Lonchura striata: one gene and its partners. The protein of the gene in region 1 interacts with the protein of each later gene in a pairwise test. Links are inferred from orthologs where the notes say so. Each region holds a gene or a part of one and is shown in the gene's direction. Other genes may lie near its edges. The genes, in order: DVL3, BAHD1, TNFAIP8L1 and WT1.

Evidence for each region.
Region 2: the proteins of DVL3 (region 1) and BAHD1 interact in binary tests that used the Homo sapiens proteins (3 or more experiments, as listed by UniProt). The two-hybrid records come from large-scale screens. The link is inferred for Lonchura striata from reciprocal best matches to the Homo sapiens genes DVL3 and BAHD1.
Region 3: the proteins of DVL3 (region 1) and TNFAIP8L1 interact in binary tests that used the Homo sapiens proteins (3 or more experiments, as listed by UniProt). The two-hybrid records come from large-scale screens. The link is inferred for Lonchura striata from reciprocal best matches to the Homo sapiens genes DVL3 and TNFAIP8L1.
Region 4: the proteins of DVL3 (region 1) and WT1 interact in binary tests that used the Homo sapiens proteins (3 or more experiments, as listed by UniProt). The link is inferred for Lonchura striata from reciprocal best matches to the Homo sapiens genes DVL3 and WT1.

What each region holds. Positions count from the first base shown.
Region 1 is NC_134612.1:18,725,551-18,733,115, forward strand, and holds the start of DVL3 (segment polarity protein dishevelled homolog DVL-3), read left to right. Parts: upstream 1-4,550; 5' UTR 4,551-4,613; coding exon 4,614-4,780; intron 4,781-7,565. UniProt on the Homo sapiens protein: Involved in the signal transduction pathway mediated by multiple Wnt genes.
Region 2 is NC_134608.1:52,665,294-52,672,537, reverse strand, and holds the start of BAHD1 (bromo adjacent homology domain-containing 1 protein), read left to right. Parts: upstream 1-4,239; 5' UTR 4,240-4,332; intron 4,333-7,244.
Region 3 is NC_134630.1:5,932,185-5,939,457, reverse strand, and holds the start of TNFAIP8L1 (tumor necrosis factor alpha-induced protein 8-like protein 1), read left to right. Parts: upstream 1-4,261; 5' UTR 4,262-4,937; intron 4,938-5,011; exon of another isoform or gene 5,012-5,104; intron 5,105-5,676; exon of another isoform or gene 5,677-5,901; intron 5,902-7,273. UniProt on the Homo sapiens protein: Acts as a negative regulator of mTOR activity.
Region 4 is NC_134608.1:60,255,835-60,263,181, forward strand, and holds the start of WT1 (Wilms tumor protein), read left to right. Parts: upstream 1-4,340; coding exon 4,341-4,731; intron 4,732-7,347. UniProt on the Homo sapiens protein: Transcription factor that plays an important role in cellular development and cell survival. Recognizes and binds to the DNA sequence 5'-GCG(T/G)GGGCG-3'. Regulates the expression of numerous target genes, including EPO.

The sequences.
Region 1 (7,565 bases):
AAAACTAGGGATGATGTTTTGCTCAGCTTCCCCACAGGGTTGGTTGATGGTGGATGGCTCTACGGATCACCATATCCTGCATGTGATCATTCTTCTGTGCCCCCAGCTTAGCAGACATGTTTTAGAGAAGTGTCTGTTTCTTATTTTTTTTAAGAAAAGGGTGCAGAGGTGCCTGGCTTCTCCTGCTGCACCAACTACACTTGTTTTGCCCTGGGGGCATTGACTGCACCAGCTGCTTTGAGGAGAATGCAAGTTACTAAGTTCTGCTCCAGTGTGAAAAGGAGCGAATGGTATTTCCTTCAGCAGCACGTCTGTGTATCCACATGATTTCAGTTACATAAGCTTGCTTACTTCATGGCCGTTTATTTATTTGAAAACTTCCCTCAGACAGCAGGAAAAGTGCTGCAAACCCACTGTGAGGCTCTGCAGCCACAGAACAGCTTGGCAGGCAGCAGGGAATAAGTGTGCCTCTGGCTCAGACAATGTGTGGCAGCAGCAAGGCCTTTAAGAGCAGCTAACTTGGAAGTGTCACTGTGCTGCATTCTGCCCTGCTCTCGAACAGGGTGAAAAGGGTACCGCAGCCATCAGCTTGTGTTCATGGGTGGGGTATTGGATCTGCTGACCTAGCCTCTGCCCCTTCAGGAGGAGCACGGAATAAATCCTTTGCAGGAGGAATTGCACTGGAGCTGCCCACTCAGGATATTTACTTGGCCGTTCCGTGGTGCCACAACTGTCAGTGAGGGGACAGCATTGGATGCTGGAGACCAGGGATACTGCCTCTAAAAAGCTGATGTTCAGGCAGGGCCATCTTGTGCACTCACACTATCAGTTGCCAGGACTGTGCATAAATGTCCTTGTTTTCTGACATTGCAAACTCAGTCTTGTAAATGTTGGGGAAATTGTTGGTATCTGAATTTTCTGTATCTGCCAATATTTAATTCAGGGAGCAAATAAAAACTATCCTGGTGTTACCAGCTTGTTTGCTTTTTTTTACTTGAAATTGTATGTCTCCAGTTTTACATGCCTGAGCAGGGCTTCATGTGTAAGTTAAATAACTCATCACTTGTTTTTCCTCAGATTTTAAGCACACAATAGCCAGGTAGGAAATCGGCACAGCATTTCATGAGTGAAAGTGTTTGATGGTAACTCATGAGCCCTGTTTGCAACTAGTGAGAACAATTCATTAAAATGTCTGAACTTGGAATCCTGAAGTGGGTGAGGTTTGGTTTTGTACAGAATTATGTTGCAAAGATGAACCTTAAATCCAAGGAAATCTCTTATCATTTGTCATTATGGGAATTGATGGGAATGTTGGCTGATACATCATGCATTGTGTCCTCCTGATGCTGGGAAATAAGAACCGGTAGAGAGGCAGGGAACTGGCAGAAGCAGCTACAAAGCCCTTAGTCAAACCATTTACAAACCAGCTGCAAGACTTAGTAATTTTAAAATCTCCTTGGAAGTCTCAAATATTTTTTTTTCCTTTTACAGAGTAAATATGGCTTAAGAATAAATTTAACGTGTAGTGCTGTAAATGGCTCAGTTTTGCCAGAAGTTCTTGATTATTTCTGCCAAGTAACAATTCCACTTTTGTTTTTTCCACATTCCTTCCTCCTTTGCTCCAACTTTGTGGTATGAGCTGCTTTTTACCTGAGAGTTAAAATCCAAGGGGAGAATGTTGCTTTATGGCCACATCCTTCAGGCACTGGTGGTGTGTGTAGTGGGGTAGTTTTACAGATGCCAAGAATAGAGTAGCAAAAAGAAAACTAATTAGAACACTTGATACTCTCCAAGGTGGAGTTCTGGCATGGTGAAGCATCCTTATGTACTGATACGTGCTGTACTTTTTAAAGGAGCATTTATTCCATTGCTGAAGTGTAGGGTGGGCTTGATGCTTTGTTGTTGCTTCAGTCAAGATGGTTCTTTGGTTAGAAGACTAGAAATGCCTTTGAGAGCAATCTTGAATGTGGAATCATTGCTACCCATCTCTGAGAAATGCAAGCAATTAAGTACTTTATTTTCCTAAGACTATAATAATCAACTTGTCTGCCTTCCCATCTGACAGGGAGGGGTGGATGGATGGATGGATGGAAGGAAGGAAGGAAGGAACCTGGTGTTCCTTTATCAAACCTACAACTTCAGTTAACAATAGTAACCCTTTTAAAAGAAGATAATAATTTGGATTTGCTTAAAGGTGTAAGTGATGGAACTCAAGTACATCCGCCTCTGCTTTGGGCTGTTCCAAGATGCACTAAAATGTCTGAAGCCTGTACTCTGTAAGGAGAAGCAATGTTATCGATGCTACAATTTTTAAGTTGCAATAATTGCAAAAATAAGCCAACAGGCAGTTCAGAAACTTCCTTGTGGACCTTGGAGTGCACAGCACAATCCCCTCCTGCTAATTTCTTTGGCACTGTGTTCTTAACTTCCATTCAGTGAGTCATACAGCACAAGGCCTCTGTGAGCAGTGAAACTGATCTATCATTGAGGCTATTCAGTCACTTGGCCTGTTTTAAAAGAAAAGGCAGCTGTAGCAATGAGATTTCATCTACTACTACCCTGGGGGTGTGGCACCCCTCCCCTGAGCTGCATGTGCTCCCTTGGGAGCTCGGCAGTACCAAAAATTGCCCTTTTGGTAACAAATGTGTCTGATGTGTACAATACAGGCTCCAAGGTGCACCCATGGCTGTGCTGCGAGGTGGATGAGACCTGGCAGTGGCCCTGCCAGGTACACACTAGGATTCTCTCATATGTGCCTGCTTTTGGGGCACGGAGGTGTTGCAAAAGGACTTTAAGATTAGCTCTGTCAGAGTTGACACAGGAAGAAGCAATTCAAACTAAACTTTTCCATTCCTGACCTGGATTCTTCATTCCAGGTACACCAGCTTTTACTACAGAGCTCTGGGCATAAGGAAATTACAATCTTCCAAGAGCTGATGTGGAAACATCAGAGTCTCAGACCTCTTACAACTTCTGTTTACCTGAGGACTTCCCTTGAATTTTTATTCTTTTTTCAGTTTAATGTCAGGTTCTTCCCCCAGTCTAGCAGTGCTGCCCAGGTAATTACTAGCAATGCCTGCAGGACTCTTTAATGCATTAGAAGGCTTATTTAGCTCTGCCTGCCTGAGGAACTTGGCTCTGTTCCCTGTAGGATCTCTCTGGCTCCTTTTCCTACGGCAGGGGAGTCTAGTCTGAGGGCTGATCTAGTCTCATGCCCTGTCTCATGCCCTGTGCAGGCCCGTGGTGTGGTGCTTCCTCTGCATGTTCCTTCTAATCCAGGATGGTGCAAGGCGGTTCTTGCCCTTCCTGTTGGTGGGTGTTCCCAAAACTCCATCCACCCCAGTTTTGCTCTTAGCCACAACTCTGGGAAACTGCTGATGGAGATGGTTCCTTGGTGCCTGCTGGGTGCTGGCAAGGTGTGCAGGGTGGAAACCAGACAACCTGAGACTGATGTGGAACAGAGGCAAGTCCTGGGGGCTGGGGTCACAGTGCTGATGATTATAGGTAAGAATTTGCTGGGGTCTGGGGAGACAGGATGGGAAGAAACCACACAGCCAAAGGGTGCCCAGTTGAAGAAGCCATGGTATATGGAAGAGAGGATTCTCATGAAGAGCAGAGGAAAGAGTCTGCTTGGTAAGGAAAAGGTCTGGGCACTGGGGTTAGTTGTTGGATGGTGACAAGGGGTTCAGAGGGAAGCCCTAGCTGGAGAGGAGCTCTGGGGTGTGTGGTAGTCTCTGTGTGTGGTGGCCATCTGAGACAGTATGGAGAATTCAAAGGGGTCTGTACCTGGGAGGATGGTGTAGAGATGGATATGCCTCATGTTTTGTAAGCTGTACTCATGGGGCACATAGCTGTAGAGGAGCATGGGGAAGGCTGAGAGGTGTGTGATAAAGGACCAGAGCTGCAGAGATAGAAGGGGAGGCCTGGGGTGTGGACAGAATCGGAGGTCGCGGGACACAGGAATGACCCTGTGTGTGAGGCACCATCAGAGCGTGTAAAGGGGGTGTGAAAGCTGAATGAGGGTGGGGAGCCTAGGAGAGGTGTATTCCCAGCTGGCACTGGGAATGTGGGTGCACGGGGAGTACCAGGCTGCGGATAGGAAGATGTGGATGTAAAGTATAAATGCCAACGCACCCAGGGGTGATGGGGCTGGAGGTGGGCAGTCCCGGGGCCGTGCACCCTCACGGGGCACGGCAGCACCGGGGCTGGATGGGTGTGTAGGGGCTCCGTCCCAGCGGCGGGGATCCGGCTCGGGGGCAGCGGGCGGGCCGGCACGGTGGCGGGCTCTGGGCCCCAACTCGCGGGCTGCCCGCTGAGCCCGGTGCCGTCCGCGCTGCTCCCGGGGCCGCTCCCGCGCCGCGGCCCCGCGGGGCGCCGGTTCCGGTTCCGGCGGGGCCGGGACGGCGGGCGGGGCGGGGCCGGCCGGGCCGAGCCTGCGCCGTGCAGCCGGGCGGCGCTGGGACCGGAGAACAAGGGGCGCGGGGGGACCGGGCGTGCGGAGGCCGCAGCCGGGCCGGGGCACGGGCGGGGGCCGGGCCGGGACCGGGGGTCCGGGCCGGGGCGGCGGAGGCGGCGGAGGCAGAGGCGGGGGCCTGGCGGCCGGGCAGGGCGCCATGGCGGCGGCCGAGACGAAGATCATTTACCACCTGGACGAGCAGGAGACGCCGTACCTGGTGAAGCTGCCGATCCCGGCCGAGCGCGTCACCCTCGGCGACTTCAAGGGGCTCCTCAACCGCCCCAACTACAAGTTCTACTTCAAGTCCATGGACGACGACTTCGGGTGAGCGCGGGCCCGGGCCCGGTCCCCCGGGGCCACGCGTGGAGCCCGGGCCCCGCGGGCCTCCCCGGGGAGCAGTGCGGGTGGCCGGGGAGCTCCCGCCCTCGCGGGGCCGGGCTGGGGCTGGCTGCCCCTCGGCCCCGGCAGCGCCCCGGGACGGCGGGGCCGGGACCCCCGGGATGGGGAGGCGCCGCTCGTGCCCGGCGCGGGGCCGGTGATCCCGATCCATCTTCCATCCCCGTTGCCTTTCCTTGGCGAGGATGGGGATGGTGACCCCCTTGGGCTCTCTCTGGAGGGACGCGCCCTCCGTGCACCCCAGGACCTCACCTGTGGGAGGCTGGAGGTGATACCCCCGTGCACATTCTCTGGGGTTCGTTGTCCCTGGGTGCTGCCTCCGGGGACAGCCGCACATCCTCGGATCCCGCATCTGCTCTGGGGAAGCTGCGCCATGCCAGCTCCTCAGTGAGGGAGCTGGTGATACCCTGCTTCAGGTGCCAGAGGCACCTTGGAGAAGACCATCATCCCCATCTGAGGGTCACTCCCTCCCGTACTCAGGATGTTTGGCCAACACCTTGCCTGAGGTGGTCTCACCCATGCAGCCCACACTGGGGTGTCGGGGATGGCATCCCCAGGTTATATCCTGCTCAGGACTGTCACTCCCCACCAAAAGGGCCTGGGCATCTCCCACTGTGCCTGCCTAGGGAAAGTGCCCCTTGCTCCCTCCTCCAGAAGGGTGAGCCACCTCCATCAGCCCTTTCCATGGAATGGAGTTGGGGACAGTTTTGTTTTCCTACCATCCATTTTGGGGAGGGACATCCATTTTGTCAGCTTTGTCCTCTGCGTCTAATTTTTGGGAAGAATGTGTAGAGAAGGCCAGCTTTGTCCTCCCCTACCTCCATGAAGAAGGAGTGAGAGCTCTCCATGTGCTGCCCATCTCTGAGCAGGAGGTGTATACAAGACTCACTGTACCCATGTACATGTCCCAGTCTCAAAGTGAGATGTCCCGTGCTCCATCTCTGGTATAGAAGAGGGGTGCAGCCCTGTCTTATATCCCATCTCCTGCAGGGCAACTCTCTTCCAACAGTGGTGTTTCCATCACTTCTTTTGTGATGCCCTTTGGTTCCTCCCATCGCAGGTGACTCATTGGAGGTGAGGAGGTATATTCTGTCTCTTGTTTGGATGTTGTACTTGCTTATCTTCTGGGCAGCCCCTGCTGTCTCCTACCTGCATAAAGTTGGTTAACGTTCTGGGGAGCAAATACCATGGGAAGCCAGCTCCCTGTAAGACCCTCTGTCCTCACTCTGTTTTGTCCAGATTTCCTACATCTGACTTTCCTTTAGCCACTCTTTTTCCATCCTGGGATTCTCTTGGTTTCTACAACATGTGACTCTTTACCATTTCTAGCACTTTGATGTTTGAAGGAGTGGTGTGATACTTCCTCCTCTGAAGATCTGGTGTTTAGAGTAGGTCTTATGCATGGAGCTGGGATTGCAAAGTGTTTTCAGTTTTATATTCTTCCCAGTGTCTTCTCACTGCACCAGATACCTCTCTGGGCTGTGATTTTGGCTTGTACCCCATGTTGAACAGGGCTTGGCCTGTTTGGGACTTGGATGAGATCTGTGTGGCTGCCTCAGCAGGGGGTGCTCTCCCCTCCTCAGCCAAATTATCCCCGTGCCCAGGTTCCCGTTAGTTTGGGAGGTGCCAGCTTTCAGATGAGGCTTGAAATTTGGAGTCACTCCTTTGACCGCAGTCTGAAACGCTTTGCTTCCCTAAATTCCTCCTGACCCAGTGGAGAGCTTTAGTTCTCAGAAGCTTCTCCATTCTCTCCTGGCAAATAGAAGTCTCCAGCCTTCATTTTCCATAAATTTCCTCAGCAATATCAGTTGTCTGTGGATCGTTTCCTGTCCCTCAGCTGTTTTATAGCGTTGGGTGCTATGAAACAGCTGCCTCTCCCTGTCTCGGAGGGGACCATGTTCATTGGGGGGAGAAGTGACTTCTCTGTGCATGCTGTTTGTAAACAAATGCTTTGGGATCCTTTGAAATGTTGTTCTTGAAGTGAATTCAAACTTGTCTTGAATGAAACATTGCCATGTGGGTGGGAGAGTGTGCAACTATAAACAAAGTTTAGTAATAAATAGCAGCGTCTTGCATTGGGAAGAGGGGTCTGGTGGCAGTGAAGTTTTGTGCTGTGTTTTTTCATCCTCCTCTATCTCTTTAAGGTTCTACAAGAGGAGCTAGATGATAGATTAACAAAACTCAACAGTAAAGCAGCATAGGGAGTTATAGTGGGTGATAGCAGGGAGAGGGGAAAGTCACTCAGGAAGACACCACAAGATCAGTTGCGTCAGAAATGTATGGATGAGATTTTTGTTGTGACCAGCCCAGCTAATTTCTTTGGGAAGCGTAAACCACTCTGGAAGGGAAGGCACAGCTGACAGGGGGTCAGGGCTGTGTGTAGGCAGCCTGTTCCTTGGGGAAGTCCTGGGCAATATAACTTGAGCAGTTGGAGCAGTGTGTGCAAGGCCTGGGGTGTGAGAGAGAGAGCAAGCCTTTGTCACCATGGATGCTTCATCAGGAAAGCTGTCTCTGCTGCTTTCCAGAGAGCTGAAGAATGTGCTGGTGGTTGGCTGGAACATGGTGGGAACAAGCAGAGCAGTCCAGCTGCAGCCTTGTCTCTGAGAAGCCCTGAAGCCCTGGGCAGCACACAAAGTTTCATGATCCCTGGTAATTGATGTCCATGAGAAAGTGAGCCATTGGCCTGCAGGGAGAATCAGAGACAGAAGGGCAG
Region 2 (7,244 bases), on another chromosome or scaffold:
ATAAACTTTTCTAAAACGAAAATAAATTAAAATAAATGAGAAATTAAACCTTTGTAGCAGCAACGGTACCAAAAAGCTGCAGATGATTCCCTGAGACACCAATACAGTAATTTGGATTTTTCTAGGTAGGTAATGAGATCCTTTGTGACAGCTCTGTGCTGGCAGAGCCCTCTCCTTCAGCCTGAAGGTTTCTTCCGGTGGAAAAAGGGGAATATTTCACCCAGCTGAAAATGAACAAATGCTGATGTTTAAACAGAAATCTCAGAGGAAGCTGCCTCTGTAACCACAGCTGGTTTGCTGCAGACCTGAACACTCACAGCCAATTTGCTTTTTTGGTGTAATAGAATTCCAAGTCAGTCCATGGAGCTCCACCAGGGATTCATTTGGCCTTTTGCAGTTACTGGGTTAACCCTGGAAGGGGGAAGGAAAGGAGGGGACCACCAAAACCCATCTCTTTGCCAGCAAGCCAGTGCAGCACCAGCACCTTTTCTGTGGAAACACCAGGAGGGATGGGATCACACAGCTGGGTTTGGGGATGTTTCTTGGTGGGGGACATGCCTGGAAAGAGAAGGATCCCTATGGGATGCAGCTGAGATAGGCTGAATTAAAGACTTTTTAACCCATCCCTGTCACTGCAGCCAAACAGGGGCCACATAAAGACCCAAGGATGGCTTTATCCCCATCTGCAGCCATGCGGCTGTTTGGGAAGGTGGGGCTGGCCACCCTCCCCCTCACAGATGTGCCGGCTCTTCCCTGCAGCCAAGTCCTTCCCTGAGGCCTGGCCAAGGAACCAGTTGGTGCAGGATCCTCCACACTGCTGCTCTTAGTGTGTGAGTTTACTCGGATTAAGGTTGTTGCTTAAGCTTCCATGCCTATTTGCAAGCTGCCAGTGGAATGCAAGCTCTCCATCAGTTTGTGGCTGTGCAGGAAGCTCAGGTGTTCCCAGGGATTCCACTTGGATTAAAAAGAGGAGGCTGCCAGCCTCCTGCCATCACAGACACCAGAGCTCCAGGTACTCTTTCTCTGTCCTTGCAGCCCTGCTGGGAGATTTTTCTTCTTGGATTTCCTGTGACTTTTTAAAATTTACCATAGTTGTTCCTGAAAGTCAGAGAGCTCTGAGTGTGCAGTGCAAACACCCTTCTCCCAGCCTGACCCACAGTGAGGTGCTGGGACTCTCTTCCATTCTCCTGTGGGACAACTAAAGATTTTACTGAAATTCAAAGTCAGAAAATGCAAAGATCCTTTTCCCTGTTTTCCCTGTGTTAACAATAAAATCCTCTTTTCCCTTCTTTCCCTGTAGCGCTGGCTCAGCTCTGTGTACCTGTGCCACCCCAGTATCTGGAGGTAAGTCATGCAGTGAGGGACAATCTCTTAATCCCTGCTGGTTCCTGGCCCAGCTCCTCCACAGCCATGGGGCTTTAGAACCCCTTTTACCAACAGGTACTACCTCAGCAAGGTGCTGCCACAGCCCATATTGTGAGCTGGGGACAAAGATTCTTGTTGTGCTGCTGTTCAGGCAGTCTATAGCCCTGGATGTTATCCCTTGTCCAAAAAACAGGCCAGAATATGGGGTAGGAAGATTTTGTGTTGGGGTTTTGGTGGTTTATTCTTCCCAGTTAATAAGGGGAGAAAAAGCCCAAATGCTGCCTCTTGGCTGTGTCGCCGCCTGACAGAGGCTGGAGGCCAGCAGACACACAGACATATTGTTCTGGAATCAGCAATTAGCTTCCCATTTTCCCCCCCTCATCCCTCTGAGAAAGGGACGAGGAAAGGCCCCACTTGAGAATAAATTAGTATCTCAAAAGAGAGGCAGCTCTGCAGATGGCTCCGTTGTGCTTCACACTCCTGCACAGCTCTGGAGCAGTTCCCCATCCTCAACCTGTCCGTTGTCCAGATGTTCTCCTATTCCAGACACCTGGAAGAGGGAAGGTGGCCTCACCTCCACTTTCCCCAGAAAGCAGCTGTTAAATGATATTTGTCATCAAATTTCATAATGAATTTTGCCCAAGTGCTTCCCTCTGGAACACTGTGACACTGTGGGTTTATTGCTTGAGTTCCAGGGGGATTTCAGAACTTTGAAATTCTCAGATTCTTCACTTTTCTGCTCAAATATCGTTCTGTTTAGCTATGGGAGTCTGAGGTGGTAGATGCTGGAAGTCAATGGAACACATCTAGCAACAGGAGTAAGTGTGCTCTGTGTAACACGAAAATTGAACTCTGATCTCAGAGTGCTGTGATTTCCTGTTCCTGTGGCTCGCAGCAGAGGGAAAGGCTCCAATAAAATATCATTTTTAGGGAATAATTTGGCAGCACCATGAGCTGCCCTCGGTTTTCAGGTGGGGAGCAGCTCTGGTCTGAGGAGACAGAACCTTTGTGCTTATGGAGTGGCTCTTGGTGTTGTCCAGCTGCATTAAATAGAGCCTGGAAAAGTCTCCTCCAAAGGTTGCATTTCCAAAGGGCAGCCATCAAATGGGGTAATCACAGAGTATCCTGAGGTGGAAAGGATGCACAAGGATCATCCAAATCCAGCTCATAACAGTATCAGAGAGTTTTTAAGGAGGGTTGCCCTACTGCACCTTGAAGGCTTCCAGGGGTATAGCTGTTAAAGTTACTTATTTTTCCCTGCTCCATCACCAATGGCTGGTATTTGTTTCAGGAATTAGTGTCTCCAAATAGCTGAATTTCCTCTCAAGCTTCCCCTGTGTAACATCTGGATCCTGCAATAATCATACCAGTGCTTGATCCTGCTGTTGTTTGCAAGATCCCTGTGGACCACCGGAACAAGGCAGGAAGTATTTCAGGCTCTTAGTCTCCTGCAGTTTAGTTGAATTTCAAACAGATAATCAGGGTCTCACCCTCATTGTGTGTGTATTTATCTCCTGAAGCCCCGTGAGTTGCTTGTTCCATGTGCGAGTTCTTTCCCAGCTGTTTCCCAAATTTAAAAGAAATAGGACAAATTTGGTACTGGAACAGGCTCCTCAGGGAAGCGGTCACATCTCCAAGCCTGAAAGAGCTCAAGAAGTGTTTGGACAATGCTCTCAGGCACATGGTCGGTTTTTGGGGCTGTCCTGTGCAGGACTAAGAGTGGGGCTCAATTCCTGTGGATCCAACTCAGAAGACTTCATGATTCTATGGAAAAACCCCATTCTGGTGCTGATGGAGAGGCTTCAGGGATGGGGACTGTGGTACTGCTAAAGATCAAGTAACTTCCGTGGCTTGCTGGTTCTCTTTTAGGGCTTTAAACTCATCTTTTCAGGAAAATATGGAGTTTTTCAGATGTTCTCATTGCCATGTCTCACCTGTTGGTAAGACCATAGAAGCCACGGACACCTGAGTGTCGCACCTGAGGACAGATTCTGTGGAGAAGCTCTGAGACACCTGAGAACTCTCTGTTGGCCTTTTCCCCCCTAAAATGCAACGGGATATTCCCCTGCTGCTGACTCACGAGGCTGCTCAGGGATAGCTGCCACACAGGGGCTGTCCGTGGCCTTTCCAGTGCCCATCTCGGGATGGGAATGATGGGCGCTCAAACCCGCTCTGCCTTTTGCCTCTCCTCCCTAGCAGCTCTCAGCGGAGCTCCCGCCGGACCCCTGGGACATACAACTTTCCCAGAGTTTGGATGCAGGGCTCGGTTTAAGTGTGACTGCCCCCGGGATGCGCAGGGCACAGCCGCGAGGTGTGAGGGCGCCTTGGGCGCCTCTGAGGGACCCACGGGGGGGCCCCTGACTGGCGCGCGAGGCCGCCTCATGCCCCCGTCCTGTGAGGGAATCGCGGCCATCGGGGGCTACCCCAGTGCTCCGGCGGGGCGGTTATCCCGGTTTTCCCGGTTATCCCGGTTATCCCGCGCCACGGGCGAGGGGCGGCAGAGTGGGGGGCTCCGTGAGGGGAGCGGGGGGGCGCCGAGGGGGGCTCGGGGCGGGGGCGGGCGCGGCGGCGATTGGCCGGCGGCGGCGGGGAGGGGCGGCCGTGATTGGCCGGCGCGGCGGGGCGAGCGGCGGGCGGCGGGCGACGATTGGCTGCGGACGAGGAAGCAGGAAGGAGGCCGGAGGCGCTCGCGGCTTGCGGGGACTTCGCGGCGGCGGCGGCGGCGGCGCCCCCGGTCCCTCCTCCGCCCCCTCCTCCGCCCCTCCCGGCCCCTCCGCCGCCCGCTCCGGCCTCCGCCCGCCCGCTCCGCGACGCCCCGCGGCCAGGGGCGGGCGGCGGCGGTGGCGCCTCGTCCCCATCCCGCAGCGGAGGAGGCGGCGGCGCTGACGCAGCAGCAGCGCGGAGCTCGGGACTCGCGGCGCTCCCGCCGCTGGATTTCTCCCCCCCGGGGCCTGCGGCAGCCTCCCGGTGAGTCCACACGCGGTCCCCGCGGCGCCGGCTCGTCCCTCCGCCCCCGGGAACTCCGCCTGGCCGGGAGCAGGTGCCGCCGCCCCGGGGTTTGGGGGGCGGGGGGTACTCGGGGCCAGCGGGAACTTCCCGCGGCGGCGGGGAAGCGCCGGGAGGGCACGGCGGGCTGGGTGGCGGGTGGGCCGGGCCGGCCCGAGCCGCCGTTACCCCGCGCGGTCCCACCGGTGCGAGGCCGGATCGGCCCCGCCGAACCGCCCGGGGCTCCTCCGCCCCTGCCGCTCGGGCAGCACAAAGGCGGCGGCGCCGGGCCGGGGGGGCCCGCGGGAGTTGCGGGGCTCCTCGCCCCATGGGCTGCTCGCCCCATGGGCTGCTCGGCTCGGCATCGCCGGGTCGGAGGCGATTCCCGGGGAGAGCCGTCGCTGTCCTCGGCGACTCCGGATCTCGGAGCTGAAGCGGCGCTGCCCGGCCGGGAGTTGGCACAGGACGGGCTGGCTGGGGCTTGGTGTCTTGGGGCTCCCCACGGCCGAACGGGGCGATGAGCCCCTCCCCGGAGGGTCGAGCGGTTGAGTCCGTCGAGTTCCCGGTGGTTTGCAGGATGTGATGCCGGGCGGGCTGTGAGCCCCGTGTCCCTGTCAAGCAGGTACCATCGAGCCTCTTTGGGGGATAGCAGAGCAGTTTTCATTTCCATCGTGATTTTTCCCACTCGCCGTGCGCTCCCCGTGGCTCTGGACATCTCTCTTTTCCTGCCGGCTGCTCCGGTGGCCGACGGCTTGTTTTCTCTTCTCCTTTTGTGTAGCGGTGGCTCCTAATGGAGGCAGCTCCGCTGGCTCCCTCTTTTCCAGCTGCTTCTATAAGGCGCAGGAGCCAGCACATGTGACTGGGCAGATCTCGGGAAGACTAGCAAGTGCTCCCCGGGCTCCTGCTCGACAGCCAACACGGGGATACCCACACCCCGATGTCCTTTTCCCTGCCCCGGCACAGGGAGACACAGGAACCCCTTCTCTTTCACAAGAGCAGCCACGAAAACTTAAAAAATACGAGCATTTGGGATTTATTCTGTTTGCCTCTCCCCCTCCCCTTTCTCTTTCCACAAAATGCTTATCTGAAAGAGGTTCTGGTTGTGTTTTGTTTTAAAGAATCCAGCTGCCCCTCGTGCTCGCTCTCCATCTGAAGTCATCATTGTCAGGAGCAGGCGAACCTCAAAGCGAGAGGCTTTGCCGGGCTTTTGCTTGCCTGGTTAATTGATCTGTCCATCAGTTTGCCACAATTAGCGAGTGCTTGTGCCACGCTGAGGGGCTCTGTGGTGTTCTGGGGGGCTCGGGGTTTTATTTTAAGGCTTCTGGTCCTTGTGGTTGTGAGAAAGAGTGACACGAGCTGCGTGATAGACTGGTGCTTTTGAAATCGTAATGTGATTTAAATACCAGCACGCTGCTGATCGCTTTAACAGAAATATCCTGCTCACATATTCATCCCGGGCCATCCTTCACGTTTGTCATGTCCTGGCTACCTGAATCGTTCCCGAGCTTCGGCTGGAACTGTCTAAATGTTTGCAGGTGATAGGAAATAGTGCATTAGTGTGATTTACCAGGACGTTTTGGATTTAAACATCGATTTCTGTTTGTTTTCCTCATTAACACAGTGCAGCATTTCTAACTGCTTTCCAGCTGGAGCAGAGCAGAGAAGTGTAGTACTACTGATAGGTGTAAAACACCAAGCCTGCAAGGAAAAACAATTCCTTGAACTTTGTGCGACTGGATCCTTTCTGGATGCTTTGTTTGCTGGGGCTTCATGGTGACAGTTGCACAGAACAATAAGATGCAACTTAGAAATGTGGGCTTTGGGGGAAAAACAGTCACACCCTTGTGTCTTGAGGCAGAAATGTTATTTTGGAGGCCACTGGTGTGTTCTCATCCAACTGAATCATTCAGTTAAGCGTCGGTACTCTGTCCTTCTTGCCAGTTTGTCTGCATCACCTTTCTGTTTCCTCTCTGGAAGCCTTAGTGTTTATTTGGCTTTTTAACCAGTATCACGGGACAGGGTTGGAAGGGCCTCTGGAGACCACCCCCACCTAGAGCAGGTGACACAGCAATGTGTCCAGGTGGGTTTGGAATGTCTCCAGAGACAGCCTGTTCTGTGCTCTGCCACACTCCATGGAAAGTTCTTCCTCCTGCTGAGGTGGAACTTGTTGTGTTTTAGGTGATGCAGGTTAATTTTGTTTGCTGTGGTGGTGTTAATCGCTGTTGTGTGACTTGGAGGCTCTCTGGAACACGTGTGCTGGTCCAGTCTGTGGAGATCCGATTTAGGGATCACCTGGCTGGGATGTGGGGGGAAATCCACCCTTCAGCAAAAACTTTTCTAGTGCTGCTGCAGCATTGAAAATAAGCCCTTAGCAGCAAATCTGTCCAAAGTAAACAATTGAAAAATAATTAGGAGTGGTAGCAAAGGCATGCTCTCTGCTTGGCATCGTGTTCAGATCACAAGCAAATGAACGAGTGATGAGATCTAGCTCTGCAAAAACAAGAAGGTGTGCTCAGATGTGCAAATATCACATCCAAAAGGAGCTGTGTTAGGGTTTTTTTGCCCCATCTCCAGTTAGTTGTCCCCATTTGGACATCGGGAGAGATTTCTTTGTATAAAAGGCTGTCAGGCACTGGAAGGGGCTGACACCAGGGAGGTGGTGGAATGTCCATCCCTGCAGGTGTTCAAGAAAGGACTGGATGTGGTGCTCGGTGCTCTGGGCTGGGTGACAAGGTGATGATTGGTCACAGGTTGGACTTGGTGACCTTGGAGTTCTTTTCCAAGCTCATTGGTTCTGGGATCTCAGTTAACCACGGGGATACAACTCATGGAAGCAGCAGCAGAACAGCCTTGGTATCACACCCAACCAGCTGAACGACATCATAACTCTCATG
Region 3 (7,273 bases), on another chromosome or scaffold:
TCAAATACAATACTTGCTTGTAAGCTTTAAGCTACAATGCACAGAGCTCCATTATTAACCTTAGATTTTTCTTAATACTTCACCAGATATACTTTTCTGCAACTTAGGAAGTTATTCTACTCAAGCGTTAATACACAGACTATTGTTTTATTTGTTTTTTTTTCTTTTTACTTGTATACTTTTTCTGTTGACAAATCTTATAGCTACTGCTTAGCTCTAATTACCATCCTGCTGTTTCTGAGGCCTGCCTTTTGCAATGTGCCCCAAACCCTCTGATTTTAAGGAATCCCACAGGGAACGGGTATGTTTCTTTATAGTGGTGTGGATGTATGTTGGGGACTTACTGTTTTTTAATGGATATGCGTATTTTTGAGAACTCTTGATTTTTAAAATTATTTTTATTAATATTTCTATGTATAGACTTTTACAATAGGTTTATGTATATTTATTTTGCTGATTTTATATTATATTTATAGCTAGTTATACTTGTACTTAGTTTTTGTTAGAAAGTATAGAAAAACTCTTGGGTTACTTTGCGTTATCTGTTTTGAGGTCTGAGGAGTTTTTTTATTTCTTATTTTTTAGTGTGGAAATTTTCTTTTTTTATTTTTTTTCTTTAGCTGGGGTAATTTTTTTAGGGCTGTAGTTACTAGACTAAACAGCATATTTAGTAAGCTCAAAGTGGCACATTTTACTTAAATGGATTTTTATCTTGTTACATTTTTACTCTGGCTCATTCTCCCCAATTATTCAGCCGCTGCCTCCCTGGGGATGCTCCCCGCAGCGGAGCCCCCGCCCCCGGCCGGGGGGAGCAGCGGGGATTGGGGGTCCCGGGGCTGGGGGGGGGGTCCGGGTGGGAGAGGGAGGGGGAAGTCCCGGGGCTGGGGTGGGGGTCCCGGTGGATGTACAGCGGCACAGGGAGGGAAGTTTTGGGGCTGGGGTGGGGGTCCCGGTGGATGTGCAGCGGCAGGGGGAGGGAAGTTTTGGGGCTGGGGTGGGGGTCTTGGTGGGAGTGCAGCCCCACAGGGAGGGAAGTTTTGGGGCTGGGGTGGGGGTCTTGGTGGGATGTGCAGAGGCAGAGGGAAGGGAAGTTTTGGGGCTGGGGTGGGGGTCTCGGTGGGATGTGCAGAGGCAGAGGGAAGGGAAGTTTTGGGGCTGGGGTGGGGGTCCCGGTGGATGTACAGCGGCACAGGGAGGGAAGTTTTGGGGCTGGGGTGGGGGTCCCGGTGGATGTGCAGCGGCAGGGGGAGGGAAGTTTTGGGGCTGGGGTGGGGGTCTTGGTGGGAGTGCAGCCCCACAGGGAGGGAAGTTTTGGGGCTGGGGTGGGGGTCTTGGTGGGATGTGCAGAGGCAGAGGGAAGGGAAGTTTTGGGGCTGGGGTGGGGGTCTTGGTGGGATGTGCAGAGGCAGAGGGAAGGGAAGTTTTGGGGCTGGGGTGGGGGTCTCGGTGGGATGTGCAGAGGCAGAGGGAAGGGAAGTTTTGGGGCTGGGGTGGGGGTCTCGGTGGATGTGCAGCCGCACAGGGAGGGAAGTTTTGGGGCTGTGGTGGGGTCCGGGTGGGAGTGCAGCGGCACAGGGAGGGAAGTTTTGGGGCTGGGGTGGGGGTCCCGGTAGATGTGCAGCCCCACAGGGAGGGAAGTTTTGGGGCTGGGGTGGGGGTCTTGGTGGGATGTGCAGAGGCAAAGGGAAGGGAAGTTTTGGGGCTGGGGTGGGGGTCTCGGTGGGATGTGCAGAGGCAGAGGGAAGGGAAGTTTTGGGGCTGGGGTGGGGGTCTCGGTGGATGTGCAGAGGCAGAGGGAAGGGAAGTTTTGGGGCTGTGGTGGGGTCCGGGTGGGAGTGCAGCGGCACAGGGAGGGAAGTTTTGGGGCTGGGGTGGGGGTCTCGGTGGGATGTGCAGAGGCAGAGGAAAGGAAGTTTTGGGGCTGGGGTGGGGTCCGGGTGGGAGTGCAGCCGCAGAGGGACGGGGATGTCCCGGAGCTGTGGTGGGGGTCTCGGTGGATGTGCAGCCGCAGAGGGATGGGGATGTCCCGGAGCTGTGGTGGGGGTCCGGGTGGGATGTGCAGCCTCAGGGGGAGCGGGATGAGCCGGGCCGCCTTCCCCGAGGACGGGGAGGCTCGGCGGGCAGGAGAGCAGCGGCTGCAAGCCCCGTTTCATTTCCCTGCAAGGAGAGGAGGGACGGGGGGAGCGGCTGCTCGGAGCTGGCCCACATCCCGCTGCCTCGCTGCCTTTCTTTTTTTATTCCCGGTTTTCATGCGCAGCCAGCTCCCATCCCCGCGATCCGCAGTGGCTGCTCCATCCTCCGGGCAGGGATTTGTGGCGATGGATTTGGGGGGGTTCCCCCCGTGTGACCCCAGCACAGCATCCCCCGGCCGCTGCTCCAGGGCTGGGCTGAGGAGCAGAGCTCTGCAAGACGTGGGGACATTGCTGAGATCCTTCCCGAGTTGGGAATTTTGGGATCTGCGTGTTGGGCACACCGGAGTGCACCCAGGGGTGCTCCCCACACGGCCACCCCATCCCATCACCCTCCAAAACACCTTCAGCGACAGCCTGAGCGAGGTGACAAACGGCGGGGGTGGCCCAGCGATGGCAGCGTGGGGTGGGACAGCGGTGGGGGCGCAGGACAGGGCAGGAATGGGGACATGGGATGGGGCAGGAATGGGGACACGGGATGGGGCAGGAATGGGGACAGGGGATGGGGCAGGAATAGGGGACACGGGATGGGGACACGGGATGGGGACAGGGAATGGGGCAGGAATGGGGACATGGGATGGGGCAGGAATGGGGATATGGGATGGGGCAGGAATGGGGACACGGGATGGGGCAGGAATGGGGACATGGGATGGGGCAGGAATGGGGACACGGGATGGGGCACTGGATGGGGACAGGGAATGGGGCAGGAATGGGGACACGGGATGGGGCAGGAATAGGGGACATGGGATGGGGCAGGAATAGGGGACATGGGATGGGGCAGGAATGGGGATATGGATGGGGCAGGAATGGGGCAGGAATGGGGACATGGAATGGGGCAGGAATGGGGACATGGGATGGGGCAGGAATGGGGACATGGATGGGGACAGGGGATGGGGCAGCAATGGGGACAGGGGATGAGGCAGAAATGGGGACATGGGATGGGGAAGGAGTGGGGACATGGGATGGGGCAGGAATGGGGACATGGGATAGGGAAATGGTGCTGACACAAGACAGGACAGCAATGGGGACAGCAGGACAGCGGTGAAAATACAGAGCAGGGCAGTAATGGGGACACAGGACCAGGCTCCCGGTGGCCACCGGGACCGGACGAGCCCGGAGGGTGATTTATGCAGGGCAGGTTGGTGCCACAGCTGTTCGGCAGTGCGGCAACAGCTGCTGCGGCTGCTCCGGCACGAGCTGGCACCAGCGGAAATCCTCGGGAATATTGCGAGTGGGGGCGATGCCCCGGGGGTGTCGGGCACTGCCGTGGGGCGGGGGGCATCAGAGCCGGGGAATTGGCGAGGATTTGGGGTTCGCTTCCCAGCCGCTGCGTGAGACCAAGACTCAAGTCAAGGCTGCCGTTAATCCATACTTTAATCCGCTCTAAATCCCACTTTTAATCTGTTTAATGCCACCTTTGGGAATTAGGATCCCGTGCCGCGGCTCCTACCCACGGAGCCGGGAGGAGGAAGAGGAAGGATGCTCCGACACTCCCGATGCTGGGGAGCGCAGAATCTCTGGGATGTCGGGGGGTCCCGACAGCCGCGACCCCCGCGCCTAAACATTCCCGCACACGCTGCTCTCGGCCGGCAGCACGGCAGCCCCCACGCCTTCTCCTCTTCCCACGGGTGTCACATCCCCTCGTGGGGACGCTGTGTGCAGAGGAGGGGGAGCTTTGCAGGACCCCGCGGCGCTGCCCACGCACAGCCCGGTCCAGCAGCGCCCTCCTCAGCTCCGGCTCATCAGCGCCGCCGGCGTCCCACGCGTGATCCTCTCCCCCACCGATGTCCCCGTCACCCACCCGTGTCCCTGTCACACACCCGTGTCCCCGTCACCCACCCGTGTCCCCGTCACCCCCGTGCGGGCTGGGGGAGGCTCTGCCCGCCCCACGCGCGTTACCGGGACCGGCCCACGCGCGCGGGACCCGCGGGGACGCGCCCGCCCCGGCCCCGCCCACGCCCCATCCGCGCGCTCCCATTGGCTGCTTCGTAGCAAGCCCCGCGCCGCCATTGGCTGGCGCCGCCCGCGGGACACGCCCCCCGGCCCCGCCCCCGCCGCTCCCGGCCCCGCGCGGGACTTGGCGGCGACCGCGGGCGGGAGGCCCCGACCCGCCGGGAACCGGCACCGGGAGACGGGAACCGGGCTCCGAGAGACGGAACCGGCACCGGGAACCCCTCACTGAGAGCCGGGAACCGGCACCGCCAGCCGGACATTGAGAAACGGGAACCGACACCGGGAACCGGCACCGGGAACCGGGCACTGAAAGGCGGGAACTGGCACTGGGTATCGGCACCGGGAACCGGACACTGACAGCCGGGAACCGGGAACCAGACACGGGGCACCGGTTACCAGACGCCGAGAATCAGACAGCGGGAACAGCACCGGGCACCGGACACCGGGAACCGGCATCGGGAATCGGGAAACAGATATTGGGAACTGGCACCGGGCACCGGACATCGGACACTGGACACCGGGAACCAGCACCGGGAAACAGGAACCGGACATCGGACACCGGGACCGGCACTGGGCATCGAAGACCGAACGCCGGACGTCGTCACCGGGCACCGGCATCGGGGACCGGGCACGGGTAGCGCCTGCGGGAGCCCGCCGGGCAGGGAGAGGCACCGGGGGAAGCGGGACCCTCCGCCTGGCCCCGCCCCGTCCAGCCCCGTCCCGCCCCGTCCCGTCCCGCCGGGGGCACCGGAGAAGCCCCGGTCCCGGCGCCGCTCTCCCCGAGTCAGGCTGCAGGTAAGGGCCGGTTCCCCCGGTATCTCCCGGTACCTCCCAGTTCCTCCCGGTTCCCCGGTTCCTCCCATCTTCCCCGGTCCGTGTGGGCGGGGGCGCTCGGTACCGGCCTGTTCCGTGCTTGCGCTGCGGGGCGAAACCTCTCGCCCTCCATCCCGGGAATCACCCGTGTGTGTGTCCCCCCTCTCCCCGGTGTCACCGGGCACCGACGGCCGCGCGCAGCCCCCGAGGGGAAAGGAGGGTTTGGGGAGCCGCGGGGCGGGCAGGGCTGGGAGCCGCTCCCGGCAGGATGTGCCTCAGTTTCCCCAGGTGGATAAACCACGGGGAAAAGGCGATTTCCCCTCGCCAGATTCAAGGGAAACGCGACGGGGCTGGGTCCGGTGGGTGTTGGATAACGGGAACCGGGAGGAGGCACCGGAGCCACCCCCGTGGGGCTGGCACGGCCCCACGTGCCAGGGCAGGGCCGGGTACCCCATGGCAGCACTTGGCTTGAGCATCGCCTGTCCCTCCTCCCACCCCTGAGCTCCCGAGGCTGAAATTCCTCCATTCCTGGAAATTCTAATCCCTGTGGAGAGGCCGGATCCCGCCCGGGCCGCGAGCTGGCTGTAAAAGCTCCCAACTCGAAATTTCCCTGGAGCAGGGAAGGATTTGGGCCCTTCTTTCCTTGACCCCAAGCCCAGCACTGAATCCCAATTGTCCCGTGGAGTTTTCCTCCCTCCCAGAGAGCGACTTTGTCCTCCAGATCCCGAGGCAGGAAGCATGTGATGTGCCCTGGCCCCCACCGCGGCCGGACAGACGGACGGACGGATGGTGGTTTGGCCTCAGTTTCCCCCCTCCCAGCCTCTGTTTTCTACTTCCCCATAAGTCTCCAGTCTGCTCCAAACGAAGGAGAAAGGAAGTTGCTGCCAGGGAGAGCAGCTTGATGGCAGCTGGAGAAAGAAAAGGAGGAAATGGAAGGCGAGACAGATGCTCCAAAATAACCCCCCCTTCCTCCTCTCTGTAAAATACCCCCCTTCCTCCTCCTCTTCCTCTGCCTTTTCTCCATAAAATCTCCCTTTCTTCCTCCTCCCCTCCATAAAATAACCCCCCTTCCTCCTCCTCCTCCTCCTCCTCCTCCTCTCCTTAAAATAACCTCAATTCCTCCTCCTCTCCAATTTGGCAGCTGCCTCCCCCGCGGGTCACAGTAATCGCAGGGAGAATTCCTTGATGCCACAACCACCCCCAGGATGAGCCCCTGCCCCGAGCTGGGGGGCGAGCACCCCTCCCTGCGGATCCCAGGATGCCATTCCCACGGGAATCCCACTTTTGGGGGTTCCCCAGCCGTGCCCGGCGTTGGCACCGCCAGAGCCCCCCTCGGATGGGCGCCTCGGCTCCTTGCACGGACACGTCGGTGCTGCCAGGGCGGATCAGCGCTCCCAGGCAAAACCAAAATCCATCTCCCTCGCGTGGCTTCAGCCTCGTGCTGAAGGGAAGGAGATTTTGGGACGGGGGAGCTCAGAGGGAGAGGACGGGGATGGGGACAGTGATGGGGACAGTGATGGGGACAGTGATGGGGACAGTGATGGGGACATGGCACCAGCGGGAGCGAGCGGGGCGAGCTGGAAGCAGCGGTGCCCAGCAGCGTTCCCGGTGCCCTCTCCAGCCACGGATCCGCCCGGCTTTGCCAAGGAAGGAGCTTTTTTTCCTCGGGCGAGGTGTTTATTCAGTGTTTTTTCCTCCTGGCCTCACCCCGCTCGGCACACACGCAGCGTCTCCGGCTGCCCTTTGCACCATGGCAACCTGCGAGCGTCCTTCAGCCTTCCTCCCGCTCCTCTCCCTCGGCTCTCCCGGCGCTGGTAACGGGGGCCTGGGAGCTGCGGGGCTCACGGATGCTGCGGGACAGGCTGGAGATGCTGCTGGGGCTCTCAGGTTACTGCCCGGAGCTGCTGGAATGCAGGAGGGTTTAATTAATTAATAGGGGTTGGAGCACGCTGCTGGGGGATGGAGAGCAGAGCAGTGGGATCCCATCCGCCCTCTTGGCATTCAGCCACGGGGCTGGGGGGACTGGGAATGCTGGGGGGCAGAGCAGGGGTGTTTCCCAAAGCAGGGGAAGGAGAAGCCTGTGGGATGGAGGGAAATCCAGGGAGATGGCCACTATTCAATGTTTATCCTGTTGGGAAACGATGTTTCCGTGTTGGAGGAAACTTGTAGCAAGACCAAGTTACTAAGGCCGGGGTGGGAAGGTGGAGGAGGGAGAGGAGGAGGAAGAGGAGGCAGAGGCGCCTCTGCTCTGAGCTGGAGCTTTGTGGAGCCTCCCCCTCTGTGCTGCTCCATGAATTAATTAAAGTGCTTTTCCTTCC
Region 4 (7,347 bases), on another chromosome or scaffold:
GCCGGGCCCGGCCCGCCGCTCGCCGCCGCTGCACGGCGGGGTCGGTGCTGGGGAGGCTGTCCCGGCGGAGCGGGGCAAGAGCCGGGGCCACGGCAGATGTCCGGGACCCCGCGGGGCTGCTCGCTATCCCCGCACCCGCCCGCAGTGCCCCGCTCACGTCTGCTTCGGGGAGGGGTCGCGCATCTTTGCTTCTCCGTGCACCAAAAACAACTTTTCTACCCACAGGGGATAAACCAAACGTCCTCTAGGCAGCACGAAAGCGTTCCCGGGCCCACGTCAGCCCGCACACGGAAGGCTGGTCCCGCCTTGCCGGCGGCTCCCGGCTCCCGTGGTGCTCGCAGCTCTCGGCAGCGAGAAATGAGAGATTGGGCCCGCCGCGATGAATTCCTGCCCCTGTGCCCTCTGCGCTCCTGGAGACGCTTCTCAGCTTTGTTTCTGCTGCTCTTAGCGCTTAAATAATCAAACTCTGATCAGCTCCCTGAGTGAAAGGAGACAGATCCCCTGCGTGCTGTGAGCGGCGTGAGCAGGAGGGGAAGGGCTGGAGATTTATCTCTGGTTCAGTCAGTCTCGCCCACCTCCGAAACGTGGGGGGATCGTTTTAGGAGTTTCGTAAGAATTACCGGTCCATTCCTTAATTGGTTAGCATGGCAGAGGTAAAATTTCGGCTGGGGAGGTGCGGCAGCGGTGCTCAGGTTGAAGCAGCTTCCCGAGCCTGTTGTTCTCGTGTTCGAGTGGGACTCGCTAGAATAATCCTCCTCCAGCTATTGTTTAACCTGGCAGAGTATGCCTTCGAGCACAATCGAAGACTGAGCGTTATCAGGAATTGCCCTAGCTATGGAACAGCGGGCAATGAAGCCTGTCAGAGTTTTGGATCGGGCCGTATTCGGAGGGGACAGGGCAAAATGTTCCGCACCGCCTGGGTCTGGAAACCGACAAAGGAGATGCTGTCCCTGAACATCTCCCTGTCTCCTCGGCCATCGCGTTCAACTGGGCACCCAAACCCACACGCGGGCGCCCGGTGTGCGAGACCTGGAACGATTTATGCCGGAATTTGTCTGGAAGCGGGGTCGGGATCTCTGGGGAAGAGGTGGGCAAAAGTCTCCTGCAAAGAAGGAGCAGCTCCTCTCAGCATTCCTCAGGGGGAGCTGCTGCCAGCGTTCCCGGCCTGTGTTGGAGGTTTCTCTCTTTCCCTGGCGCTGGCTAGACGGAAACAACTAGGCAAAGTGGCACTGGCCGTCTCCCAAAAATCCTCAGCCCATCCCGAGACGGAAGGGTCCGGGCTTTCCTGCCCCAGGACGCCCCCGGACGCGTTCGAGGTGGGCGCGCTCCGTGTCCCGCACGGCTGAGGCGGCCCGGGAGAGCGCAGGTGCAGCACAGGGCTGAGCTGAGCTGAGCTGAGCTGAGCTGAGCTGAGCTGAGCTGAGCTGAGCTGTGCTGTGCTGTGCTGAGCTCAGCTGAGCTGAGCTGTGCTGGCAGCTCCTGACTCTCCCCAGCCTCTCCAGCAACTGCGGGGAGGAAGGATGCGCTAATGGCCAAGGGGTCGTCTTGTTTCACTGCTGGAGGGTGCGAGGGAGAAGGTTTGGACAGACTTCGGCAGTTCTTCCAGGTAGAGTAATGCAGAGTTAAGCGATCAAGTAAACCTTTCTTTCCCTTTTAAGATGATTTATCAAGCTAGGTTATTTCAAGAAAAGACAAAACCCCCGTGCTAGCTCGAAAAACAGCCCACTACGGGAAACGTATTTTCTGCTAGCTCCTAGAGAGCGCTAGTTTTCATGCGAAATCAAATACCCCGCTTAGGCTGGCCAAAGAATTCCATTCCTATATGTACGATGTCCATCGCAGAACTGGAGATCATAAAATCGTTTAGGTTGTGAAAGACCTTTAAGGTACCCAGTTCAACCAACCTCGTGTATCGGTCCGTCACAGAAACGAGCAAAGCCAGCAGCAGCCCCTGTGCCGATCCCGCAGCTCCCCGCGGGTCCCGGGCAGGGGTGACCGCGGTGTGCGGGAGCCCCGGTGCGGCCAGAGCGGGAGGCAGAGCGGGAGGCAGCGCCGGAGCCCGCGGGCAGCAAGGTCAGCGCGATTTCCCCGCACGGGCTGCATTCACAAGTGCCGTCCAGTGTGCTTTAGTTTGCCGTGGGCTCTGAGGTGGCGCGTCCTGTAAACTTAGAGGATATTTAATATCAGCGAAAATAATGAACTAATCTTTCGCACTTACGCTATACGTGGATTTTTGTAATAAATAGATGTATGTGCCAAAAGAGAAATTTTTAAAGGGAATTACCTGAAATAGTTTGCGAAAAAAAAACAATTTCACTAATAACAAAAACCGAACGTTATGGCTAATAAGTTTTAAGAGAAAATGAAATTATACTTGGCTGCTCCAATAAGGACCTATTTTAATTTCTATTGTTGTAGCCTTGACCCTTTGAATCTTAAAACACCTCTTCAACGTTGACGATGCTTGCGGTAACCTTTGATGCCGCGAGGGAAAGGAAATCCCGAGGTGCGCGCTGTCACCGGGCGGACAAGGGGCTCGGCGTGTCCTGCGGCAGGTGAGCCTTCGCGGCGCCTCTGTCGCTGCTGTCGCCGCAAAGGAGGGTGAGGCTGAGGGCTGAGGCCGCGGGGGTGTCGCCGGGCGGCGACCCCGCTTGGCGGTGCCACGGCTCTAACAGCGGCCGGTGACAAGGGACAGGGCGGCGGGGCCGGTGCGACCCCGCGTGCTCCGCGAGTACCCTGAGCCGGCAGCTGCCCCACGGCTGCCCGTGAAAGCGGCACCCCCCACCCCCGGGTGGTTATCCATCCGTAGTTATGCGGGAGGGCGGCAGGATTCCCCTCCCCGCCTTTGGAGAGAGCGCGTCCTGCCCGCGGCAGGTACCGCGGGGCTCTGCCGCCCGCCCCGGCGCTTCCTGCCTGGGCAGTCGCTCTAGGTGGGCTCCCGCACCGCCAGAATCACGGCACCCCTCGGGGCCGGGGCCGACACGAGTCCTGCCGTGTTTCTCGGCAGGAAGGACAGCCCGGGGATAACGAGTCGGGTGCCTTTGGGGGTCCTCCGGCCGCCGCCCCCGGGATGGACGCTGAGGAGCCGCTGTCCAGGAGGCTGGAGAGCAAAGAGGGACTCCGGGCCTTCCCGGGAGCAGTGCCAGGTGAATCTCTCAACAGCAGGTTACTCACAGCGCTGCTGTCCTCCCCCGCCCGCCCAGCTGCTTCCTTCCCCTCGCACACAGGCAGGTCCGAGGCACCGGGCTAGGGCCGGGCTCACGCCGGCCCCGGGGCCGGTGCAAAGGGCTCCCAGCCCTCTCCTGGCCGGCGGAGCCCTCGGTACCCCGGCCCGGCCAGCCCTGGCGACGTGCCGCGGCCCTGCGCCCCCAGGGACAGGGAGGGGTGCGGGGGGGCCGGGCAGGCAGCTCGCACCCCGCAGGAGCTCATGGAAACGCAGGATCCTCCCGTAGCGGGAAAGGCACCTGGAAAGACACTTTCTCCTCTCAGAAATGGGGTCCGCCCGGGCCGGGTCGTGTCACTTCCCCTGGTTCCTGCAAGGGCGGAGGCTTCTCCGCGCGGTCCCCTGGGCCTGCGACCTCGCCGCCCTCGGGAATCCCCACGGACATGCACGGAGCTGGCGGGGGAAGTCAGCCAGCACGTACTTACTGGCCACCTGGATCCCTCTAACAAGTCCCGCAAGTCTCTCCTAAAGCGGAGGAACGTTAGGGTGAGATTTAGTGGCGCTTGCACCAGCAGAAGGGTGGGAGTGATGTGTAGGGGAGATATATTCTCCCACAGTCACCTCTCCCCCTCCATCCCCGGCTCTCCCGTGTCTCCCCTCCCCCCGCGCGTCTGGTCCGGCTGGGTTCAGCAGAGCGGGCTGTGGGCAGCCCCTCGGCGGAGGTTGTGTGAATGGAGGATCGGCGTGGCTGACTCCTCCTCCCCTGCAAGCGCCTCTATTTGAGCTTTGCAAAGTTGAGGGTTGAGCAGGCATCCGAGGTGAGGCGTGCGCGGCGGCTGTGCCCCCCTAGCTCGGACAGGCGGACATCCGTACAGACAGACACACGCGCGGACACACAGGCACGCACACCGCACCCTGCCCTGCGCTGCGAGCGGGTGCAAACCCGGAGGCGATCCTGGAGAACAACCTTGCCCTGTCGCTGCTGCCGGCTCCCGCAGGGCTGGACCCGGGGAGCTGCGTCGCGGAGCAAACTTCCCCCAAAGGGCTGAGCTCGCCGGCCTGGTGCCTGCAGCCGGAGCCGGCCTCCGGCTTGGCGGGCAGGGGCCAGGTGTCTTGGAACAAGTGCGGCCCGGGGGGAGACTGGCTGCCCGGCGGCAGGCAAAAGGTCTGCGAGCAGATGGGCTCCGACGTCCGAGACCTCAACGCGCTGCTGCCCTCCGTGCCCTCCCTGCCGGGCAACAGCAACTGCACCATGCCGGTGAGCAGCGCGGCGCAGTGGGCGCCCGTCCTGGACTTTCCCCCGGGGGCCTCCTACGGCTCGCTGGGGCCGCACTCCTTCATCAAGCAGGAGCCGAGCTGGAACGGATCGGACCCGCACGAGGAGCAGTACCTGAGCGCCTTCACCGTCCACTTCTCCGGCCAGTTCACGGGCACGGCCGGGGCTTGCCGCTACGGGCCCTTCGGCGCCCCGCCGCCCAGCCAGCCGCCCTCGGGCCAGGCTCGGATGTTCCCCAACGGGCCCTACCTGCCCAACTGCTTGGAGAGCCAGCAAGCCATCCGCAACCAGGGTAAGGGCCGCGCTGCCGGGCGCCCCGGGCTCGGGGGACGGCCCCCGGAGGCGCCCGCTCAGCCCGGCAGGGCCGCGCCTGATGTAAACACCGAGGCCGGTCCTTCTCCGCGGCGGCCGGGCCGGGTTAGGCGAGCCAGCCCTGCCGTGCCTCCCTTCCCTCCCTGTGCGGCAGCCGCGTCGCACCCGGGAGCTTTAGGAGCCACGAGTTGCTCGGCCCCCACCCCTCCTGTGGGGCAGCGGATGCAGCGGGCGGCTCTGCCAGGCGGGCTGGAGCCCCCCGGCCCCCTCCCCGGGTTGGAGCAGCCTCTCGCCTTCGCAAAGGTTTGTTCGGGCCGGAGACGACACAAGTCCTGGAATGGAGCTGGAGCCCGTGGCCCGAGACAATTCCCTCTGCATATCTCGGGGGTGATGGGGTGGTGGCGGGGGTGAACCTCCAAACTCCCTCCAGAATCCGAAAAGGGCTGTCCGCACGCTGGTGTTTTCAAGCCCCTTTTCGAACGAACCTCGGGAGGGCTGAGTATTCCCGGGTGGAATGCACAAGCAGGGGCGACTCGGCGTTTCTTGTCTGCATCTCCGCGGCCGGGACCGGCTGCGCCGCAACTCCCTGCGGTCCCCGGTGTTCGCACCGTCCTGAGAGGCTCCCGAGGGTTGAACGGCCGGGCAATGGGTCAGCCGCGTGTGGCGCCGGGTCAGCATCTAAATCCTTTTTCTTCCAGCTCCTGCAGTATAAACATTTGCGGGCGCGAACGGGAGGAAGAAAGGAAAAGGGCCCAGCGTGCGAAGAGATCGCATGAGACATTGCGGGTCTCATTCCCCCTCCTTCAGCTGGCCCCGGAGTGGTGGTGTGCCGGGGTTTGCCCCGCACTGCCCGGCCCCGGGCGAGGCACCGAGGGGAGTCGGGCAGCCGGGGCGCCGCGGCTCGGGGGACGGGGAATCGGCGGAGTGTGCGTGGCCCTGCCGGAGCGGGATGAGTGGCCGGGGTCTCTCTGCTTTTAGGATGGGGTTCCCCGCACCTAGCCCGCAGCTCGGGATTGCTGTGCCCCGCGGGGGCAAACCCACAGAGCGGCTGGGACAGACCGTCCCGGGAAGGGCCCGGGCGATTCGGGCTGCAGGGCGTCGGGCAGAGCAGAGGCCGAGGCCGGCGCCGGCAGACGCGCTCGGTGCTGGCCGCCGAGGTGTGGCCGAGGCCCGGGCGATGCTTGCAGCGAGGGGCAGGGGTTGTTCAGCGCGGACCTCCCCCGGGCAGTGCCGGGTCGTGGTCCCGCTGCTGCCTTCGACCCCCGGCCCCTGCCCCATGGGTTCGCCCGGCGCCGGGCTCCGATGTAGGAAAGAGCAGAGCGGGGCTTCTGGGTCGTGCTGCCGATCCCGGCTGGGAAAATGGGTGGCATCCCTGGAGCTGGGGAGAGGCTCGGCCCTGCCGAGGCCCCGGAGCCGCTGCGTGCCCTGCGGGGTCCCAGCTCCAGCTGCGGGACGGGAGGGGAGCGGCCCGAGCCCGTCAGGACAGGGACTCTGACGGGGACCTTTGAAAGACATGCGAAACGGTTTTAGACATCGGAGGAGATTCCAAATAGCTGGACGGAAATAAGGACAAGAAAGTGGAGAGAAGGACGAGGGAGATAAATTCGAATTAGCGAGGGACAAAATAGCTGCGACTTCGCGCCGTCCTGGCGTCCGGTTTTCCCCACCCCGGGGAGAAACGGAGCCTTTAACGCCCCAACACACGGAGCCCACGCCGGGCTCTCCTCGGGCCCGGCGCTCCGCGGGCCGTGCTCCGCCTGCGGCACCGCAGGCACCGCACAGACCCCGCACACAGCCGCACCTGTGCGGGCCGGGGCCGGCGCACCGAGCCCTCCGCACAGCCCCGGGCATCCCGGCCCGGCAGGAGCCCGGCGACGGCGCCGTGGCGGGAGCAGGGGCCGTGTCCCGGGCCGGGGGGTCCCTTCGGCTCGGGGCTGCCTCCCGCACGTGTAGCCCTGGGGCTCAGCTGTTTTCGGTGGCACGCAGACAGAGGGCTCCTATGGCAAGGGGATACTCGGCAAAGGCGTTTGCTTGCCTTTTTTTTTTTTTTTTTTTTTTTTCTATTTTGTGGATGGATAAAATGTTCTTGCTTTGGCTCTCCTCAAGGTTGAACTCTTTTTTTTTTTTTTTTTTTAGCGGTTCCTCCGACCGTGGGAAAGACGCTACCTTGGCTCTGTGATGACATTTCTGCCAAGTCTGGGATGGGATGGGGTGGGGGGTAGGAAACTAAGGCTTTGAAACCTCTGCCCAATTTTCCTCTTCTTGTTTGCCTGCCTCTTTCATCCAGCTGGGCTCCTCCAACAACTGGATGCCTCCAGCGGGCCCCGTTCTCCAGCAGATGTACAACTTTCAATTATTTTCAGCACATTTTAATCAGGCCTACTTCTGATAACGCCCTAATTAAAGAGACCTCACTATCGGCAGCTCGGTTCAGAACTCAACTTTCTTATCGCATTCCTGAAGCTTTGGGTCAGGCAACACCGGAAAATGCGGCCAAAACCTCGTCCTGCTCCGAGCTGAGTTTTGAAGGTCACCGAAACTCTGTGGCGGGCCAAAAGTAACGTAGAAAGTGTCAGTATTTTCTGAAAGCTAAAAA